Saccharomyces cerevisiae S288C: one gene and its partners. Changing the gene in region 4 together with the main gene of any one other region gives a genetic interaction. Each region holds a gene or a part of one and is shown on either strand. Other genes may lie near its edges. The genes, in order: NDL1, YIR021W-A, YOL162W and YGR266W.

Evidence for each region.
Region 1: mutations in YGR266W (region 4) and NDL1 together harm fitness more than expected from each alone (negative genetic interaction), as found in Saccharomyces cerevisiae (one large-scale study listed by BioGRID).
Region 2: mutations in YGR266W (region 4) and YIR021W-A together harm fitness more than expected from each alone (negative genetic interaction), as found in Saccharomyces cerevisiae (one large-scale study listed by BioGRID).
Region 3: mutations in YGR266W (region 4) and YOL162W together harm fitness more than expected from each alone (negative genetic interaction), as found in Saccharomyces cerevisiae (one large-scale study listed by BioGRID).

What each region holds. Positions count from the first base shown.
Region 1 is NC_001144.5:642,814-647,791, forward strand, and holds NDL1 (Ndl1p), read right to left. Parts: upstream 2,161-4,978; coding exon 1,591-2,160; downstream 1-1,590. Other genes in the region: CQD2 (Cqd2p), read left to right, coding at 1-1,523; YLR255C (uncharacterized protein), read right to left, coding at 2,787-3,140; HAP1 (Hap1p), read left to right, coding at 3,602-4,978. UniProt on the Saccharomyces cerevisiae protein: Required for nuclear migration to the bud neck during cell division.
Region 2 is NC_001141.2:394,569-399,226, forward strand, and holds YIR021W-A (uncharacterized protein), read left to right. Parts: upstream 1-3,945; coding exon 3,946-4,158; downstream 4,159-4,658. Other genes in the region: MRS1 (Mrs1p), read left to right, coding at 2,726-3,817; signal peptidase complex catalytic subunit SEC11, read left to right, coding at 4,165-4,658.
Region 3 is NC_001147.6:7,203-12,011, forward strand, and holds YOL162W (uncharacterized protein), read left to right. Parts: upstream 1-2,916; coding exon 2,917-3,564; downstream 3,565-4,809. Other genes in the region: BDS1 (sulfuric ester hydrolase), read left to right, coding at 1-913; YOL163W (uncharacterized protein), read left to right, coding at 2,395-2,904; seripauperin PAU20, read right to left, coding at 4,347-4,709.
Region 4 is NC_001139.9:1,020,838-1,027,316, forward strand, and holds YGR266W (uncharacterized protein), read left to right. Parts: upstream 1-1,818; coding exon 1,819-3,924; downstream 3,925-6,479. Other genes in the region: methionine--tRNA ligase MES1, read right to left, coding at 1-1,016; FOL2 (GTP cyclohydrolase I), read right to left, coding at 4,167-4,898; HUA1 (Hua1p), read right to left, coding at 5,220-5,816.

The DNA of each region.
Region 1 (4,978 bases), on a different chromosome or scaffold from region 4:
CACTGACGACTAAAAGAATCGCTGTCGTCACACAAGCTACCACTCGTTGCTTCTACCATTACAAGAGGGCTCTAAATAAAAGCTATGAGAACAAAAAAGAACGAGAAGTTGCCTTAAATAAATGTCATAAGATGTGTGCCTTAATCACGTTGCATGCGCTACGATCGAATGGTGGGATATATATCAAATTAGGCCAGCACATTGGGGCCATGACCTACCTGTTGCCTAAAGAATGGACGGATACAATGATACCGTTGCAAGACCACTGTCCCGAATCCACCTACGAAGAAATTGATGAGTTATTTAAAGAAGATCTAGGCACCAGCATTGAGGATATGTTTTTAGAATTCAACAAAACCCCGATAGGTGTAGCTTCCTTGGCACAGGTTCATGTGGCAAAACTAAAAAATAGTGACGGTAAAGGTTCTAGTGTAGCTGTCAAATGTCAGCATCCATCGTTGAAGGAGTTTATACCATTAGATGTTATGCTGACAAGAACAGTGTTTGAACTGCTGGATGTCTTCTTCCCTGATTATCCGTTAACGTGGCTTGGTGATGAGCTTCAGTCTTCAATCTACGTGGAACTGAATTTTACCAAAGAAGCTGAAAATGCAGAAAAAACCCGTCATTATTTTAGTAAGTTCAAGAAGCAAACAGCATTGAAAATACCCAAGGTCATTGAAAGCCACAAAAGAATTTTGATTATGGAATATGTTGGAGGCAAAAGGTTGGATGATTTGGAGTACATTGACAGTCACGGTATCTCGCGCAGTGAAGTTTCGAGTTGTCTCTCTCATATTTTCAATAACATGATTTTTACTCCCAATGTAGGTATTCATTGTGATCCTCATGGAGGAAATCTGGCCATACGATCTGTTAAGCCCGCTAAAGATAATGGATACCATAACTTTGAAATTGTTTTATTTGACCACGGACTCTATAGATATCCTAGCACGAGAACAAGAAGACTTTATGCCAAATTTTGGTTGTCGCTCCTATTCGACAAGGACCAGACAAAAATGAAGAAGTATGCCAAAGGATTCGCAAACATCACCGACGAACAGTTTCCCCTTTTAGCGGCTGCAATTACGGGCCGTAGCATTGATGCTGCTTTGAATTACGACATTTCAACGAGTCGAACACAAGAAGAAATGGACGTCATGGCAAATGGGATCTTGGAAGGAACGTTACTGAGCGACTTGATGAGCATTTTGTCTAGAATCCCTCGTGTAGTGCTTTTGATATTGAAGACTAACGACCTAACCAGACATCTTGATGAATGTCTACAGAATCCACTCGGGCCAGAGAGGACTTTCCTGATCATGACGCAATACTGCGCCAAGACGGTCTACGACGAAAAAGTGGAAAGAATTAATTCGGAGTATGCGAGGTGGTCTATTAAATGGATGTGGGAGAACTTGACAAACTGGATAGTCTATGAGAGGCGTATTAATCAATTGTATTTTTATGATTTTGTGTTGTGGTGGAAAAAATTTATTCCGAAGACTTGGTTGTCATCTTAAATCGTTAGCGTTCTTTCTACTTGTAAATATATACGTAAAATTATATATAACAATTTTATATGTGTCATTAAACGGAAGACGTTGTTGCTATCACAGTGGATTGTGTTATTTGGGTATTTGGAATATTACAGTGACTTCTTGCAGCGTTGTTAGTTTTTGCCATGTTCTGCAAGTACAAGGTTGAAGATGTGGTCGAGACTTTGATAGTATCCTTAAACAACTTCATTTTTTTATTTTGACTGGGTAACGACCTGGTGTTCCTTCTAGTCTCACCGCTAGTGGCTTCTTCTTTGCTGACTCTTAACTTTTGCAGCGCCTCTTTGGTGTCGAGTAACTCGTGTTCCAGTAGAACGTTGCGTTCCAGTCGTCGGTCACTCTCCAATTGTAATGTCTCTATCTTATTCCTCAGTTGGATATTTTCATTTTCCAACTCATCTACCTGTATCTCTAAATCTGTTATCTGTTTCTTATTGCACTTATTTTGTTGTTGGCTCTCAAGAAGATCGCTTTTTAACTTTGATATTACTTGTTCCAAATCATTTTCATATTCTTTCGTGGCGCCTTCAAGCTCGCTCAACTGGGTCTCCAGTGAGGAGATTATCTGTATAGCTGTTTCCAAATCCAAATTCGGCACCATAGGAAAGTCGCAATTGTTGCACGTATATGTCCCTTGGATATTCCAATTAAATTTGCGAGGATTGTTCTTTCGGCCGTTCGTGGTTTGTTGTAGCCCTTATTATCCCTCTTTTTCATCCTTAATTGCAAATTTATGTATGAAAACTTTCATTTCTAATGTTATTAATTTTCCCGATTCTGCAAACTAATTGATAAAATAATTGATACTTGCCGTCACAGATGATATAGAGAACGTTCAGTTTTTTTATTGTTCTATTGTAAAAAAAAAAAAAAAAGGAAGAAAAAAGCAAGATCCGATAGGAGAAGACCTCTTTAGCGGCTTTACTGCGCTACAAATAAGGTTACGAATATGCGGAATAGTTCATGATACGTTGTTGAGTTATAGTATGTAGCCAATATTTCCTGTTTTTCCGCTGTTACCCTTTTCGAAGGATCGATGAACGCTTCTGTCACTTAGTAAGCAAATGTACGAAACCCAGAGCATTGTATGTACACCAGCAGTCGTTTTTTGTAGCTCTTTTCCATGGATGGACGATGATGGCAAGACGCGATCGTGGCGGAGCCTCACTAAGAAAAACAATTGTGGAGAATCTATACACACAGAAATCGTACTTCAAGAAATATTGATTAGCGAGCCTTTAAGCACAGAACAATCTCTATAGCCAACATCTTGTGGAAGCTACAACTGTTTTTCTTGTTCCCGCTTGAGTAGGGCCTTACAAGGCAAGACCGTATAAAATAAAGATAACTCCTCCGCCGTATCCTGAATTTCGTGTGCCCTTTCTCTCTCTCTCTCTTCCTCTTTCTTCCTTTCCCTTTCCCTCTTCTTCTTATCTCAACAACCGCCCAGCGCATTAGCAAACCACAGTACGAGCTGTACGGCTGAGCCACTGCACCTGTCTGGCTTGCCCCTTTTTGTTGAGTAACCGGGTAATAATTCGGCTGTCTAAACGATACAATCCTCGTTCCACCCACACCCATTCACCCGTCGGGCGAAATCCACCCTCGCGGCCTCGTTTAGAATACCAGGCAACGGCACCAGCAACGGCCCCGGTAACTCGATCGCGTTCATATATATCGGATATACTCTTGAGGCACAATTTTTTTCGGTTTTCGGTTTTTTCTATTATTCTTCGAGATGCAAAGCACACATTTGAGACTCACAACTCAAGATACCGCAAGCACACAGACGCTATTGTTCTCCCAAAGAATAGGTTCCTGCAGTGCTCTTTTAAGGTTTGAAGATATTGCACAAAATTGTATCTGATTTCATCTCATCGAACCTCATTCCATCAACTTCCTTTTATCAAAGCATCTTGTTTTGTTTTCGCAGAAAATTTTTCTTCCCTTTCAATTTGGCCTTTTAGTTTTTCTCCAGTCGCAGGCAAGAAGGTAAGGAAATAGAAGAAAAAGAAAAAAAAAAAAAGGGAACAATAGGTTAGATGTCGAATACCCCTTATAATTCATCTGTGCCTTCCATTGCATCCATGACCCAGTCTTCGGTCTCAAGAAGTCCTAACATGCATACAGCAACTACGCCCGGTGCCAACACCAGCTCTAACTCTCCACCCTTGCACATGTCTTCAGATTCGTCCAAGATCAAGAGGAAGCGTAACAGAATTCCGCTCAGTTGCACCATTTGTCGGAAAAGGAAAGTCAAATGTGACAAACTCAGACCACACTGCCAGCAGTGCACTAAAACTGGGGTAGCCCATCTCTGCCACTACATGGAACAGACCTGGGCAGAAGAGGCAGAGAAAGAATTGCTGAAGGACAACGAATTAAAGAAGCTTAGGGAGCGCGTAAAATCTTTAGAAAAGACTCTTTCTAAGGTGCACTCTTCTCCTTCGTCTAACTCCTTGAAAAGTTACAACACTCCCGAGAGCAGCAACCTGTTTATGGGTAGCGATGAACACACCACCCTTGTTAATGCAAATACAGGCTCTGCTTCCTCTGCCTCGCATATGCATCAGCAACAACAGCAACAGCAGCAACAGGAACAACAACAAGACTTTTCCAGAAGTGCGAACGCCAACGCGAATTCCTCGTCCCTTTCTATCTCAAATAAATATGACAACGATGAGCTGGACTTAACTAAGGACTTTGATCTTTTGCATATCAAAAGTAACGGAACCATCCACTTAGGTGCCACCCACTGGTTGTCTATCATGAAAGGTGACCCGTACCTAAAACTTTTGTGGGGTCATATCTTCGCTATGAGGGAAAAGTTAAATGAATGGTACTACCAAAAAAATTCGTACTCTAAGCTGAAGTCAAGCAAATGTCCCATCAATCACGCGCAAGCGCCGCCTTCTGCCGCTGCCGCCGCTACCAGAAAATGTCCTGTTGATCACTCCGCGTTTTCGTCTGGCATGGTGGCCCCAAAGGAGGAGACTCCTCTTCCTAGGAAATGTCCAGTTGACCACACCATGTTCTCTTCGGGAATGATTCCTCCCAGAGAGGACACTTCGTCCCAGAAGAGGTGTCCCGTTGACCACACCATGTATTCCGCAGGAATGATGCCGCCCAAGGACGAGACACCTTCCCCATTTTCCACTAAAGCTATGATAGACCATAACAAGCATACAATGAATCCGCCTCAGTCAAAATGTCCTGTGGACCATAGAAACTATATGAAGGATTATCCCTCTGACATGGCAAATTCTTCTTCGAACCCGGCAAGTCGTTGCCCCATTGACCATTCAAGCATGAAAAATACAGCGGCCTTACCAGCTTCAACGCACAATACCATCCCACACCACCAACCACAGTCCGGATCTCATGCTCGTTCGCATCCCGCACAAAGCAGGAAACATGAT
Region 2 (4,658 bases), on a different chromosome or scaffold from region 4:
AAAGTTAATTTCTGCCTACAATCACCTTCTAAACGCTCGGACTGATTGCCTTGAGCAATCAGCAGTTCTTTGAAGCCACTGTCGCAACAAAGAAAAAGAAAAGGGAAGTCCATTCTTAGCCCCAAAGAAAAGGATGACAAAAAAAAGAAAAAAAGTTAACTCGTACCAGTAAAGCCTAATTTTGCAGTGATCGCTAGCCCCAGAGAAGGACTAAAGACAAAAAGGACCCACTCGATAGGAAAATAACGGCCGAAACTCTTTGGGCGACATTTTCTTGTTAAGAAAACAGAAGAAAAAAACCTTAATTTGAACTTTCCAGGCACACCCAAAAAGGATTATGCTTATGTAATGCCACATTCCGAGAAACTGAAAGGCAAAAAAGAAAAAGCCTTTTTTTTCCTGCCGCGAAAGTTTAATTTGCCTACCGGCGTTCCTATTGGAGTCAGGAAAAGATCACTAGGAATTACAGCTGTGAGAACATACTCTGGGGCTGGCGTAGGCACACAATCCGGTATTCCTAAAGTTTTGTGGTACAAAACTCCATACCTAAAACATAAAACAAATCTCACCCGTGGATCCTTTTATTCATAATACCCCGTCCTGCACGCCGTGGAACTGAGTCTAAGTTGACAAGGCTACGAATGAATTTTGGGAAATGCATACGAAGAGGACTGAAAAAGTAGCAGGTTTCATGTGGTGGAAATACCGATTAGCGCATTCACATTCGTGTTAGGGTCCGTTTTCCCGCACAGCTTTCGAAATATGAAACAATGTCCGTCTGCGTCAGCAGCTCAGATAAGGAAAAAAGAGATGGTAAAAAACATTCGAGAAAAACAAGTACTGCAGGTGCATGTCCTCAATGCATGCAAGTGACCGTTTTGGGGTGGTGAGAACCATCACTAATTAAACTTTTCCTATTTTTTGTCTTTACAATATTCATTAGTCTTCATTCGCATTGGGTGTTCTACAGAAATGCTGGGCAAATCTGGAGATGGGTTGATACGCTAGCGTTCCTACTTGTAAGGGAGCAAAGATGTTAGATTTTTCTGTTTTGGAATTTTAGCTTTCTGTCCACCTTAGGTGTATGGCTCGGCTCTCGATGAGAATAGGAAAGTATTCCGCACTAACCGATGGGGGGTTGTTCTTACCGTAAAACCACACTTGAAAGCTATACGTAGTTGGAACCCCAAAACGACGGTATGAAATGAGGGATACATTAGGGGACAAAAAGGACTAGTAATTTCTTTGAAATTTGTAATAATAATTCGAAAAGTTGAGCATCCTTAATCTGACATGGCACACAGATGAAAAGGTGTTGAAAGCACTGTAAAAGAGGTTAAGAAATATCCTCTTTTCAACGAGCTTCATTTTGAGTATAATATGTTTATATTTGTCGCTGGCCCTGAGATGCTCAACTGTAAGTAAAACATCGGATGTGTGGATAAAAAGAACATGGAAAACGAGTGCAGCAACGACTATATTTAAAATAGTATCATTCATAATTCGATAGATGGACTTTTCAGCTACTTGTAAACGGCGAAATTGTGTCTAAGTTGTGAATGAGCTTTTCATTTTCATTTGCGTACCGAAGTGGTAAAACTGACGACCTAAAGTACGATATACGGAATAAAGCAAGTTCTAATACTCTCTGCAGTTTGACCAGTGCTACTTGGCGCTGTTCATTCCAATTAGCCGTAAATTTGTGAAATAGATCCCAAGATAATCTCCGTTTTATTTGCTTCCAAAGAGGTTATCTTTTTAATAGTTGGCATTTTCTAGCTTCTTGGTTGCTATAAGGCATAGTTGAAGTGCAGTGAGAGGAAGAGGGGAACTCACGGAAAGAGACTCCTTATACTTTTGTCAACCGGTGTGTTCCAAAATTCGCTAGTTAAACGTTTTATTAGCAGCGGTCCCATTGAGCCAAAACCCCGCTGAGCGTTGCGACACAATCTGATCATACCACATAATCATTGCAGCGCCTACTTTTTAACTTCTAGCAGCCAAATTGTTATTCAGATTTAGTTGGCGGTACGACTCCTTACAGCAGTAAATTATTCGAATTAGTAACAAACGAGTGATTGGTATGTGGAGATAGGAAACGAAGACTGAGCAGAAGCACCCACGCTAAGTAATTGTATTCTTGAATTGGGAGCCTGAAGAATTATGATCAAGCTCAGCATCTTTCCGTAGCGTCTTCGAGAATTTGTCCTGTGAGCGGAAGGTTGAAAGTTATAAATGATGTCTTATTTTTTTGCATGATCTCCCCAGACCCAGATGTCATCTGTAAAGAATTTAGTAGGACAATTGAAGACGCTGTCTTCCAATTGATTCAGCGAAACCTTTTCTTAAGATCATTCATATTCTTGTCAAAACACAGATCAGCGTCATATTATTCTTGTCTCGACATTAGGCCGTAATTTCGTCGAAGAAAAATGATCTATGTCATTGTAAATATCTACAATTCCAGCTATTTACGATAATCACGTTAGAATCTTTTGAATGAATGTCTTTCGATACTTTTCCACGCTTGAAAGTTCGCATTCTTTTGGCGTTTTGTATCCTTATTATTCCAAACTTTGATCCGTTTCAACAACGGAAAAGGGAAAAATGAAAAAGTGCTGGTAAGTGAAAAATTATGAAAACTCGCTAAACGGCGAAGTTTAGATGTGAGACAAGCAGCAATGGAAGTATAGGTTGGTATTGAATATCTGTGGTTACTCTAAAGATGTCTCCGAAGAATATAACAAGGTCGGTGATCCCGGCTATAGATTTGTATTGCCGCAAAGCAAATTTTAAAACTCTAAAATCATTGTCGATGATCCTAGGTAGTAAAAAAGAATGGTATGACACTAAAAAGGCGCCATTGAGAACCTTTTTGGTCTCTCGATGTGGCATTTTCGAGCAGTTGAGGGGTCGTCTCGTTGAAGATGGCAAAGTCAACTTGTTTAGTGTTTTCCTGACAAACGACTCATTTTCTTTTTGCAAGATGACCGTTGATGATAAGTTCAACACTAGCTTGGTCGATTGGCAAAAAATACCCTTTGACAGTACATTTGCAACTGACAGAAGACAGAATATCAGTTTACTACCTGTTGATACACTGTTTGCAACTGAAAAGATCATATCGATTCTTGGTGTATCTCCTAATATGACGAATCTTGTTTCTATAGAAAGAGAGCGATCAGACCTGGTGGATTTTAATTGTAAACTGCAATCAAACATCCTAGAACACCTACTATACGCGAAATGCCAAGGAGTGTACGTAACTTCTACCAATGAAAAAGCTCGTTTGCTTGCAGCTGTCTGCAATCCTGAATTCATTGACACCTTCTGGTGCGAATTGACTCCCATAAGAGTCTCATTAAAGGAAAACCCTTCCATTTCTGTACCTCGAGAATATCAGATGTACGATCCGGTGGTACGTGCCACTATAAAGGAGGTTGTCACCAAGCGATTACTGCGATCCGCCTTCGATAATGACATCGACCCGCTAATGTGTCTTCATTTGGATAAAGGCTGGAAACTTAAATTCCCCATACTATCCTCGACAACGGGCCTAAACTTCTCCCTGAAGGATTGTCTTTCCCTGGACACAGGAAAAGATGCATCTGATATGACAGAGGTGTTTCTCGCTACTATGGAGTCGAGTAAAGTTCTTCGTACGTATAGCAACCTCGTTGACATTGTGATGAAGGACAATGGTAGGTTGGACTCAGGCGTCCTAAAGCAATTCAACGACTACGTTAAGCAAGAAAAGCTCAATCTACAACATTTTCAGGCCGGTTCCTCAAAGTTTCTCAAAGGCGCAAAGATATAATCCTCTTATATAGCATGTAAATAGAAAGTACGTAAAAAAAAGCTACTATTGACTTTATTCTCCGTGAGGGCGGTTCTTTCTGTAGCTGTTGGTTTTTTCCAGATCTTATGTGACACACCTGCACAACAATGTCATTCTCTGTCAGCTGCAAGACTCCCAAGACCACGAAGCTGCTGGTATCTTCTATTTCAGAGAGCGCTGTTGCTCTTATTATTATTACCATACGTATACTTTTTTCCATTGGCAAAAGCGATTTCAAAAAAATAATCTCCAAGGAAATAAATGGTGCAGAAACAATATACTACAGAAATATACCGGAAAGTAAACCCCAAGGGAGTTAGCACAAGATGAATCTAAGATTTGAATTGCAGAAACTATTGAACGTTTGCTTTTTGTTTGCATCTGCTTACATGTTCTGGCAAGGCTTAGCCATTGCTACTAATAGCGCTTCTCCGATCGTGGTGGTGCTTTCAGGCTCCATGGAACCAGCTTTCCAAAGGGGTGATATCCTTTTCCTATGGAATAGAAATACTTTCAACCAAGTAGGTGATGTCGTGGTGTATGAGGTCGAAGGGAAACAAATCCCCATTGTGCATAGAGTTTTGAGGCAACATAACAATCACGCGGACAAGCAATTCCTCCTGACCAAAGGTGACAATAACGCCGGCAATGATATCTCACTATATGCTAATAAGAAAATTTACTTGAACAAGTCAAAGGAGATTGTAGGGACCGTCAAGGGCTACTTTCCACAACTAGGGTACATTACGATTTGGATTAGCGAGAACAAATATGCCAAGTTTGCATTGTTAGGTATGTTGGGGTTGAGTGCTCTGCTGGG
Region 3 (4,809 bases), on a different chromosome or scaffold from region 4:
GCAAATGCGGATCAATGAATTGCTGAAGAAGCAGCGGGATATGTATAAATTCATTCATGACCAAACACTTCGATTGCTTAATCAGGGATATACCAGTAGAGATATCGCCGAAACTCTTCGTATGCCATCCAGTCTTGAGCAAGAATGGTCAACACGAGGTTACTACGGCACTTTGAGTCACAATGTAAAGGCTGTGTATCAAAAATACCTGGGGTGGTATGATGCAAATCCGGCTAACCTAAACCCTTTGCCACCCGTAGCCTATGCAAAGAAAGCAGTCGAGTATATGGGCGGCGCTGATGCTGTATTGGCACGGGCTTATAAAGATTTCCAGAAAGGAGAGTTTCGTTGGGTTGCAAGCGTTGTTAATCAATTGGTTTTCGCTGACCCAAATAACCATCAAGCTCGTGAGCTCTGTGCTGACGCATTGGAACAGCTGGGGTATCAAGCAGAAGCCAGCACGTGGCGCAACGCTTACCTTGTAGGCGCCATGGAGTTGCGCCAAGGTGTACCAAAAAGACGAAGTACTGGTAAGCGCAACAATATTGCCGTTTTGAATAACGAAATGTTTTTTGACTTTCTTGCTGTGAGATTGAACGCTACGAAAGCAGAAGGTAAAATTATCGTTAGTAATTGGTGTTTCATTAATTCAAATGAACGGTTCGTGATCACTCTCGAAAACTGTGCCCTGACCTACATTCAGGGCTGGCAGACAGATGCAGATGCAACAATTACTCTCAAAAGAACTACATTTGAAGCTTTATTGGCCAATGAAATTACTATGGTTGATTTTTTAAGATCAAAAGAAGTCGAAATAGAGGGTAATCGACTCAGAATTGAAGAGCTGTTGAAGTTGTTTGACGACTTCGACCAGTCCTTTCCCGTCGTTGAGCCTATGGGGGGAAGCACTTGAATATATTATCAGAAATCGGCGAGAAACTTGATTTTTAGATGCCAACTTTTTTATCCACTATATTATATAATTTTTCAATAGTATTTCTTCAATACGAGGCCTTTTGTGAAGAAGAGAAATCATTCCTGGCCCACTGATTATCATATACGATATCGAGAATGATATAAGTTATAAAGCTTGTAAAGTGTGGTTCGAGGTGTTATCGTATTTACTACAATTGGAAAAGTACGGATTAATATACAGTGAAACTAATGAATCAGAGTGTTTAAAAAAGGAAGACACAGTAATCTATAATACTTTGGTGGAGCTACAGGTTTCTATTTACAGTCACCTATACTTCCGAAGAGAGCTTTTCGTATATTCTGTTTTCCTAATAACATTTACTATTGTGAATTGAAATTTAAAGTTATCTCAAATTCAAATGAATCTGCCGTTTCGATTTACTTCGATAAAGTTTGCGTTCTTCAAAATGGTAGTTTCAGACCATCTACTTTCCATCACCTGGTTTTCATCGACATTCCAGCTAATAGTGGAAAGATAGATTCACACTAACGGTGGAATACAAACTCATAGTGATTACAACTGTTTCGGGCTTGTGGCGTATATTGTGGCGCGATGTAAGAGAATACTCAGAGGACCCTGCGCCACAAGCTAAGACAAAACAAAGAGAACTTATCTGGCAGCTCGCCGAGTTTCGGTGTTCTTTAGGGTGACGCTCACCGCTTGTCATTGTGAATAGACCACAATTTTCCTCCGATTTCTTCACAATGGCTCTGATGGAAAAGCCATCTGCTGAAGATAATATACTCACCTAGACTATTCAACAGCAATCGGGGTGTCATAGAGTTTTTTATCCATTACACAGATATGTAAATCTTTATTGACACTGCTGATAACCGAAGGCAGCCTGAGCCAATATACTTAGTATATAAACGTACTATTTCAGACACAAATTAATATAGCACTCTCTAAACACTTTGTTTCGTATTTATGTTTGAGTACAAGCCTGAAAAAGCCTCTGTAGAAACTACAGTTACTCAGTTAGAGGAGTCCCTTTCTGATAAACCTCTCTATTCATTGGTGAACATTCCCAATACCGACAACTCTCTGGAAAGCCTGAAAACCCCTTTTTAAATCCTGCTGTGGAAAAGTATTATAGACAGTTGTACGAGTCCACTAAGTATGAATGTCTTGAAAGATTTGATACAACATTTGAATGGACTAAGAAAGAAGAATAAAAAGTAGTGAGAAAGTTAGACTGGCATGTTACTCCCCTTTCATGTTTCCTATTTGTGGCCTTGCAGATTGATCGAGGTAATTTGTCACAAGCGGTCGCCGATAACTTATTGCATGATTTGGGTTTAAATGCTAACAATTATAACGTTGGAAACACCATATTCTACTTGACTTTCTTGTGTGCAGAATTACCCTCACAACTCATTTCGAAGAAACTAGGAGCTGATAGTTGGATTCCTCTGCAAATGATAGCGTGGTCCCTAGTGGCTACGTTGCAATGCAAAATGACAGGGAAGAGTTCTTTCTATACATGTAGAGCACTTATGGGCCTATTTGAAGGTGGTTTTGTGGCTGATTTGGTTCTCTGGATGTCGTACTTCTACAGCTCTTCAGAATTGTCAATAAGACTGTCGTTCTTCTGGGTGACACTATCTCTAACACAAATCATCACTTCAATTGTGGCCTTCGGGGTTTTTCACATGAGAGGGATAGGTGGCATGGCAGGGTGGCAATGGCTTTTTTTGATAGAAAGAATTTTCACTTTAGTCATCGGTATCAGTGCATACTTCTTGATGGTACCCTCCGTAGTTCAAACGAAGAAACCTTGGAGCAAGAAAGGATGGTTCACTGAGAGGGAAGAAAAAATCATCGTAAACAAGATTCTGAGAGATGATCCGACAAAAGGGGATATGAACAATAGGCAAGGTATGTCACTTAAAATGTTATGGCAGGGGATAACAGATTACTATATATAGCCTATCTACTTGATGGGCCTTTTGGCTTATATCCCTACGAACGTTTTGGCCACATACCTGACTTTGGTATTGAGAAGTATCGGTTTCACAACCTTTCAAGCCAACCTGCTAGCTATTCCTAACTTTGTTCTTCATATTCTCCTGCTGTTTGGTTTAACATGGTCGACAGAAAAATGTAATAACAGGCTAGGTTTGAGTCTGTTACAACCGTTGTACACTGTTCCTCTTCTTGCAGTTCTTCGCTTTTGGAAAGGTACAATGTTTAATAAATGGGGAACTTATGCAATTATTACCTTAATATTAGATAATCCGTATATCCATGCAATTTGTGTATCCTTGTGTTCTAGAAACTCCCAATCAGTTAAAACAAGAACAGTATCTACTTGCTTGTACAATATGTTCGTGCAAGCAGGTCTCATCATATCCTCAAACATTTATGCGAAAAGCGATGCCCCACTCTATCGTAAGGGAAATGGAGTTCTTTTTGGTTTGGCACTTTTTATGTTTCCAATATTAATTGGTAGCAAATTGATTTATGTCTATATCAACAAGCAGAGGGATAAGAGGTGGAATGCAATGTCAGAAGAGGAAAAAGACCACTATCTAAGTACTACTAGTGATGCTGGTTCACGTAGACTCGATTTTAGATTCTATCACTGAACTATGTAGAAATATGGATACAATCTCCATGTTATGTATTTTTTAAGTTTGTGAATCATTTTTTTCATTTAATGTTCTATACTATTTTCAATAAGATGGATTAAGGACTTATATTTACCCTATTGCCGTTGGTGTTTATGAACTAATCACTCTTTTTCCTTAATTATATGTTTAGGTGATTGCTTAGGTTTGTTTAGGGTATGATGAGCTTATTCACTATATTGTTGAGTTAAATATTCGAGATTTGAAATTTATAATTTGCTATAAATCTTGGTTTTCTTGGTCGGTTCCACAAAAAACTGTGCCAACCCAAAAATTTTGATATTTTACGTGTCGAAAAATGAGGGTCTCTAAATGAGAGTCTGATACCATGACTTGTAGCTCGCACTGCCCTGATCTGCAATCATGTTCTTAGAAGTGACGCATATTCTATACGGCCCGACGCGACGCGCCAAAAAATGAAAAAAGAAGCAGCGACTCATTTTTATGGAAGGACAAAGTGCTGCGAAGTCATACGCTTCCAATTTCATTGTTGTTTATTGGACATACTCTGTTAGCTTTATTACCGTCCACGCTTTTTCTACAATAGTGTAAAATTTCTTTCTATGTTTATCATATTCATAAAATGCTTCACGAACACCGTCATTGATCAAATATGTTTATAATATTAATATACATTTATATAATCAACGGTATTTATATCATCAAAAAAAGTAGTTTTTTATTTTATTTTTCATTACTTTTCACTGTCTATGGATTTTCATTCGTAAAGGCATCAGTCTCTAGTTTGCGATAGTGTAGATACCATCTTTGGATAGAGCCTTGGAGATAGCTGGCTTTAATCTGGTGGAGTACCATGGGACACCGGTGATCATTCTGGTGACTTGGTCTGGGGAAATACCAGTCAACATGGTGGTGAAGTCACCGTAGTTGAAAACGGCTTCAGCAACTTCGACTGGGTAGGTTTCAGTTGGGTGGGCGGCTTGGAACATGTAGTATTGGGCCAAGTGAGCTCTGATATCAGAGACGTAGACACCCAATTCCACCAAGTTGACTCTTTCGTCAGATTGAGCTAGAGTGGTGGTTGCGGAAGCACCAGCAGCGATGGCGGCGACACCAGCAGCGATTGAAGTTAATTTGACCATTATATTTGTTTTGTTTTTTAGTGCTGATATGAGCTTAACAGGAAAGAAAGGAATAAAAAAATATTCTCAAAGACATACAGTTGAAGCAGCTCTATTTATA
Region 4 (6,479 bases):
TTTGGACATTCACCTTCCACGTAACGATCAGCCAGATAAGAATTATGAACTGGACAGTACAATTGCTTCATAGATTGTTCTTCTAGATAACCATTCGAATTTAGCTTTGTAAAAATATGTTGAGCAATCTCCGTTTGCTTGTCCGTCGTAGTTCTACCGAAATAATCAAATCCAATTTGGAACCACTTGTAAACGTCACTGTGGATTTTGTGATATTTGTCACATAATTGTCTTGGTGTCACACCTTCCTCCAAAGCTTTAGTTTCCGTGGCAGTACCATATTCATCAGTACCACAAATAAACAAGGCATTATAATTACGTCCCTTACAGTAACGAGCAAAAATGTCTGCTGAAAGAACACTACCGATGATATTACCCAAGTGTGGAACGTTGTTGACATAAGGTAATGCCGAAGTGATCAAGATGTTTCTTTCGTTTGGCTTAGGCAAAATTTCTGAATCCTTTGGCTTAACTGTTAAGTCAGCTTGGATTTTCACTGCGCCGATGTTTTTGAAAGAAGAAGAATCACGTGGAACATGCTTTTTAGCCAATGCTACAGCGTTATGCACTTTGGATGGCAATTCTGGGAATTTAGAATGAACTAAAGAAGAATTTAGAGCATAAACGTTAGCAAACAGGATCAAATCTGTAGTAGTCAATGGTTCTTTTAATTCGACCAAGTAATTTTCAATGGCCTTATTTGTCAAAACCTCGACATGTTGTTGAGGTAATTCTTTATGATATAACAGGTTTTGTAAAGATGCCAATGCAAATTGATACTTGTCGGAAGTTTGACCTTCAAAATCATCCATGACATATCTTAGAATAGCGTTAGCATCAAACAAAAGGAAAGGTTCCTTTGTATTGCGCAATTCCATGGCAGCATTATCATTGTCAACTTCAGGCTTTAAATTTTTGCTTGCATATTCAAGTGCTAGGGCAATCTTCAAATTGTTCGCTAACTGCAAATGGGCAGGATGTTTCTTCGATTTATCAAAGGAAATGAGGAAAGACATGCTTGTTGTAAATTTCCGCTTTTTTTTCAAGTTTTATTCCTCCACAAAGATGCATATCAGGAAGCAAATCATCATTAACATTAGACATCGAAGAAAATTTGTCATCGTCTTTTTTTTTTTTTCGTTTTCTCTTTCGATAAGTTGCGTACAGAAATTTTTTCTGCCTCCGAAATCATTCGTGCCTCGTGATATTGAGAAGAAGTGACTATACTCGGGCAATGCATAAATGATCGTTTCGGCGGCTAACAAAGATAATCATAGCAAGTCGACAGATCGATAGGATACACCATTATCATCACGCTACGCGTTCTCGGGAAAGCTTTGACTAGAATATTTTTCAAAGTTGAATTATATTATGTTAATCTTTTGACTTCATGCCTTTTGAATTCCCCTCCATAGGTTCCCATTTTTGACTTCAACAATTCCTACTTCAAAATCCCTGGTTAAAGAAGCCTTTCCTCAGTTTGTACAACTATGTCCGCTGTAGCTAAAAAGTTAGCATAATTCATGTTTTATGCCTGAGACGTTTTAAACTAGTACTTAATCTCTATCAATAAACTTAACCCAGAAGGTCTCAAGATTAAACATGTTATTTTTTCGTCCTTTTATTGAAAAAAGTTGAAATAGCAGCGTCGGGTAATACCAGGAATATATTTTTATCGGCACGGCTACATAGCGAAGGGTCCATTAGTAAAAATGAAAAGAAATTCCACAAAGTTAGTGAGGGGAAAGTCCTACAGAAGGTCAAAACAGTTGCTACCGGGTTCAAAGTACTCAATTGAAAATAAACACTGCTACAAAAATGCATGCTACAAACTGGTTCGACGATTGGAACCCAGAAGCTCTTTATAGAGACGATGTCACTGGCTGCGATGACTGTTCCGAAACTTCGCCAATTCCAAAGTCTGGTATTATATGTGGACCGATATTAAGACTCATCAACATGGATTTTAAGGAAAAAACCTACGAGGGGTCTATTATGGTGGTAGTTAGAGGCGAGGAAAACTTTCCGAAAATTACCTATCAGCTAGGGCCCTCTTTGCCCTCTGAGGATGAAGACATCGAAGTTAACGAGGCATTCTTCGAAGGTAAACTTTTTCATAAGGACATTTTAAAAGATGATAATATATGGTTTTACAGGTATGAGATTAAGTTGCCCATGTCCAACTATGAGCAGATGGTAAAATATGCTGTTGACGGTACTATGGAACCACATTATAGGTTCTTCGTTCCCTCTTTCACTCAAAATTCGAACGTTATCTCCTATTCATGCAACGGATTTTCACTGAGCGTAGATACATCGAAATTCAAAGGTTCTCTATGGTATGATGTCCTTAAAAAGCATCGATACGTTCATTATCATGCCATTCTCGGCGGCGGAGATCAAATTTACTCCGATAATATTAAACTGCATGCGCCAAATCTTAAAGCTTGGCTGGAGACAAAGGACCCAATTAAGAAGTATAATACTCAGACCACTGAAGAAACAAAAGAGCAGATTAGGCAGTTTTATTTAGAACACTATTTAAACTGGTACGGTTACGGTCACTGGTATGGTTCTACCCCAAAATCCAAGACCACCCAAAAATGCTTTGTCAAGTCACTAGCTTGTATTCCTGCCATTAATGTCTGGGATGACCACGATATTATTGATGGCTATGGATCGTACAACGATTCCTTCATGAAGACTGAAAATTTCCTCACAGTGGGAAGAATGGCTTACCGATACTATATGCTTTTCCAGCAGCATGTCAGTGCTTCTAAACAAGATGGCGATGAGTATGCTTATCTCAAGAGCAAACAATGGATTCTAGGTAATGAAAAAGGGAGTTCTTATATCGGTGAAAGGTCTCACTCAATATTCTCTTGGTTGGGTCCGAAAATGGCCATGTTAGGGTTGGACTGTAGAACTGAGAGGAAATTACACGAGATTTTCTCAGAAAGAAGTTATTCCTTAATTTGGGAACGTGTCGAAAGGGAAATAAAAAATTTAAAAGGTGGCCACTTATTGCTGATGCTCGGTATCCCGATTGCATATCCAAGGTTAGTATGGTTAGAATGGCTTTTTACCTCAAAACTACTGGCTCCAATTAAATATTTATCTAAAAAAGGGATATTTGCTAGTGGCTTCGTTAACGAATTTAATGGAGATGTAGAACTGTTGGATGATTTAAATGATCATTGGTGCGCGAGACATCATAAAAAAGAAAGAAACTACTTGATAATGAAATTGCAAGACATAGGTGCTAAATATGGCGTCAGAATAACCATATTATCAGGCGATGTACATTTGGCATCTGTTGGGAGATTTAGGGCAAAAATTCATAGACACCATCTCATCATGTCTGAGGAGAAGGAAAAGGAAAACACCAGAATTATTGAAGAACCAACGAAAGACGTAAGGCTGATTTTTAATATCATTGCTAGCGCCATAGTAAATACCCCACCGCCAGATGCAATGGCCACGCTATTGCAAAAAAGATGTCGCTTGCATCATTTCGATTTGGAAACGGATGAAGATGCCGTACCAATTTTTGCCAAGGAAGTGGATGGAGTACATAAACGTAAAGAATCATGTTTCATGAACAAGAGAAACTGGTCAGATATTATACCTATAGAAAACCTGTTGAATAATCCCCAATTGAGTAAAGAATTAGGCGTAAAGGTTGGTGATATAGTCATTCCTGGTATCATCACAGAACAGCAAAAGCTACAGAAATTGGAAAACGATGACCAAATTAACTCTTATCCAGTAACTTCTGGTGGCTTGTTTACCACCATTCATGTTGAAAGAGATGCAAATCAAACAAACTCACAAACTGTGAGCTACTGTTTACCCATTCCAGAGTTAACAGTTACCTGCGAACGGTTGTCTCACAAGGGTATCAAACATCTGAATATCACATAGTTTAGTTTTGTGATAATTACAGATTTTTATTTAGCAGTTCAAACTTTTCTATTCATTACTAACGGACTGTCAAGTGCGATGCTGTACCGGAAGTAAATGTATATACTGATTGTTGAAAAAAAAAAAAGCTCAGTCGCGCGTGGCCTTTCTCTATGGAGATTTCTCAAACGATATTAATCCTGTATATCTCTATTAATTTAGTTAATACATACACGATATATCGTCGCTTTTATTTTTTTTTTTCAAATACTTCTTCTTCCTAAAAGAGTTAAAAACTCTTCTCTTGTTTTATGAGCCCTAAACCCTCCAAGCATACAAGAAGTTACCGTAGAAGATCCCGTTTTTTGAATGCCTCTTGAAACCATGCACATATGAGAAGCTTCCATAACAACGGCTACACCTAATGGTTTTAGAATATCACTTAGGGCCATTGCAATTTGCTTTGTAAGTCTTTCTTGAACTTGGAGCCTTCTCGCATACATTTCTGCCAATCTGGCCAACTTACTTAACCCGATGACTTTTTTATTTGGTATATACCCGATATGAACCTTGCCGAAAAATGGCACCAAATGATGTTCACATAACGAGTAAATTTCAATATCACGAACAATAACCATTTCATCATGATCTTCTTCAAAGACAGCATTCTTAATGACATCGTCCATAATGTTCGTTTGGTAACCTTTAGTGAAATAAAGCATGGCTTTAGCGTATCTTTGTGGAGTATCTAGTAGACCTTCTCTGTTGACATCTTCACCCAGTTCGGTCAAAATTGTCTTGATAGCGCCTGAAATGCGTTGAATTCGTTCCTTTTCCTCCTCTTCAGTTTCCTCTGCACGTTGTCTTGTACCCACACTTGGCCAAGAAAACCCATCTCTCTCGACAGGAGGGTTTAAAGTGTATGGAGAGGTAGGTCTAATGTTTAACGGGGTTTCATGTCTTTCTATCTCTTGCACTAATTGGATGTTATGCATTTTGGGATGATTGAAAGTATTGGTTCTAACAAAAAATGAGTCACGCACGCACAATCACGATTGAGGATGGAGTCGTATAATATTTTATGAACGGATGCTATATCGATCAGACGGTTGGCACCGTAAAAATAAATGAAAGAAGTTAAAGAAGGGCAAATCAGTCGGATTATGTGATAAGTATGTAATAGACATGTTTGAAAATTAGGAGCATTAAAATATGCTTTTCATCCTACAGTTGTTCGGTCTTTTTTCTTTTCGGTGAGCGACACAGCTTTTCTACTAAGGCCGTACCGGGTCATCCAAATCCTAAATTTTCATGCGCTAATAGCGTTGAGGCTGGGTGATAATTCTGCCTACACCATGACAAAGAGGACATATATCTTCGTCCAACAGGAATCTGGTGCGTCCGGACCCTCTGCATTCACCACATAGCACGCCACCCAGGCGAGGATCCCCTGGTTGAACGTACAAGGGCCTATTACCCTGCCATGCGTTGGTGTACACGGGCATTGTATAGTTTGTGTAATATGTCGGTGCAGAAACAACGTTATTTTGAGGTGCAAACCTCCTCCAACACGACTTGCAAGATCGTCCATTCTTCAACTTGTAACCCGTATTTCCACACTTGGAACAGTAAAACCTGGGAGGGTATGTCCAGGGCAAGCTAGGATTCTGTTGTGGCCTCGGTGGAGGCCGTGGTTGGGAACTTGTAGGCGTATAAGAGTGTGAGTGAGCATATGTTTGGGATGAGGACGTTGCTGGCATTGTCGAGGGCCTTTGGTGGGGTCTTGATTGGTGCCCTTGCGCCAAGTTAGCTGCTGGTCTTGGTGGTCGTGGCGGTTGAGATTGCAATCTCTCCTCTTCCTTGATTACGTCCTCGTAGCTCGGCAGTTCATCATCATGCGTGTCTTTAGACATAACAGTATGGTTTATACTCGTTTTATGGGTATTTTTTGGGACTGCTTAGTTCTTGACTTGAAGCCTCTTTATTCCCTTGATGGAAGTGTCACTATTAAAGATGGAGGCGGAGGCTATACCGTAGAAAATGATATGTTTGTATGTTCTGCTCTCTTCCCTCTATTAAAAGGGGGAAAGAGAAAAATAAATGGAAAAAAGCGATTAAGCCATAGGGAAAACACTCTTGTGGTGGCAAAGCATCAGATAGGCAGGCAGGAGGAAATGGCAGTGAAGTGTCAAACCAAGCATACTTTCACTGGATTGATTTGAAAGTTAATGCTGAGTTTGAGATGTTTTAAAGAGGAACTGTGGTGATCGGTTATTTCTATTCGCTTTTGTGTGCGTCTTTTCATCGTTTGCAGCTGAACTTGTTGAGGCATTAGCCGCTGAGGAATTTTTTTCTGCCTCTATAAACTTGTTTATTATCACTAAAAACGTACCGTCTGTTATTTTGTACGGCCATGTGTGCGAAAAAGGACAAAGTGGTAGCGAAAGAGCAATATTGGGACGAAAAGGAGCAGAAAAGGAACTGCGTAGGGTCTTAAATAAAGCAAAACGTCTGAAGGATCTTGCGTACTCCTTACTAACCCATTGTTGTTTTCGACAGTCATAAAAAGAAGTTAC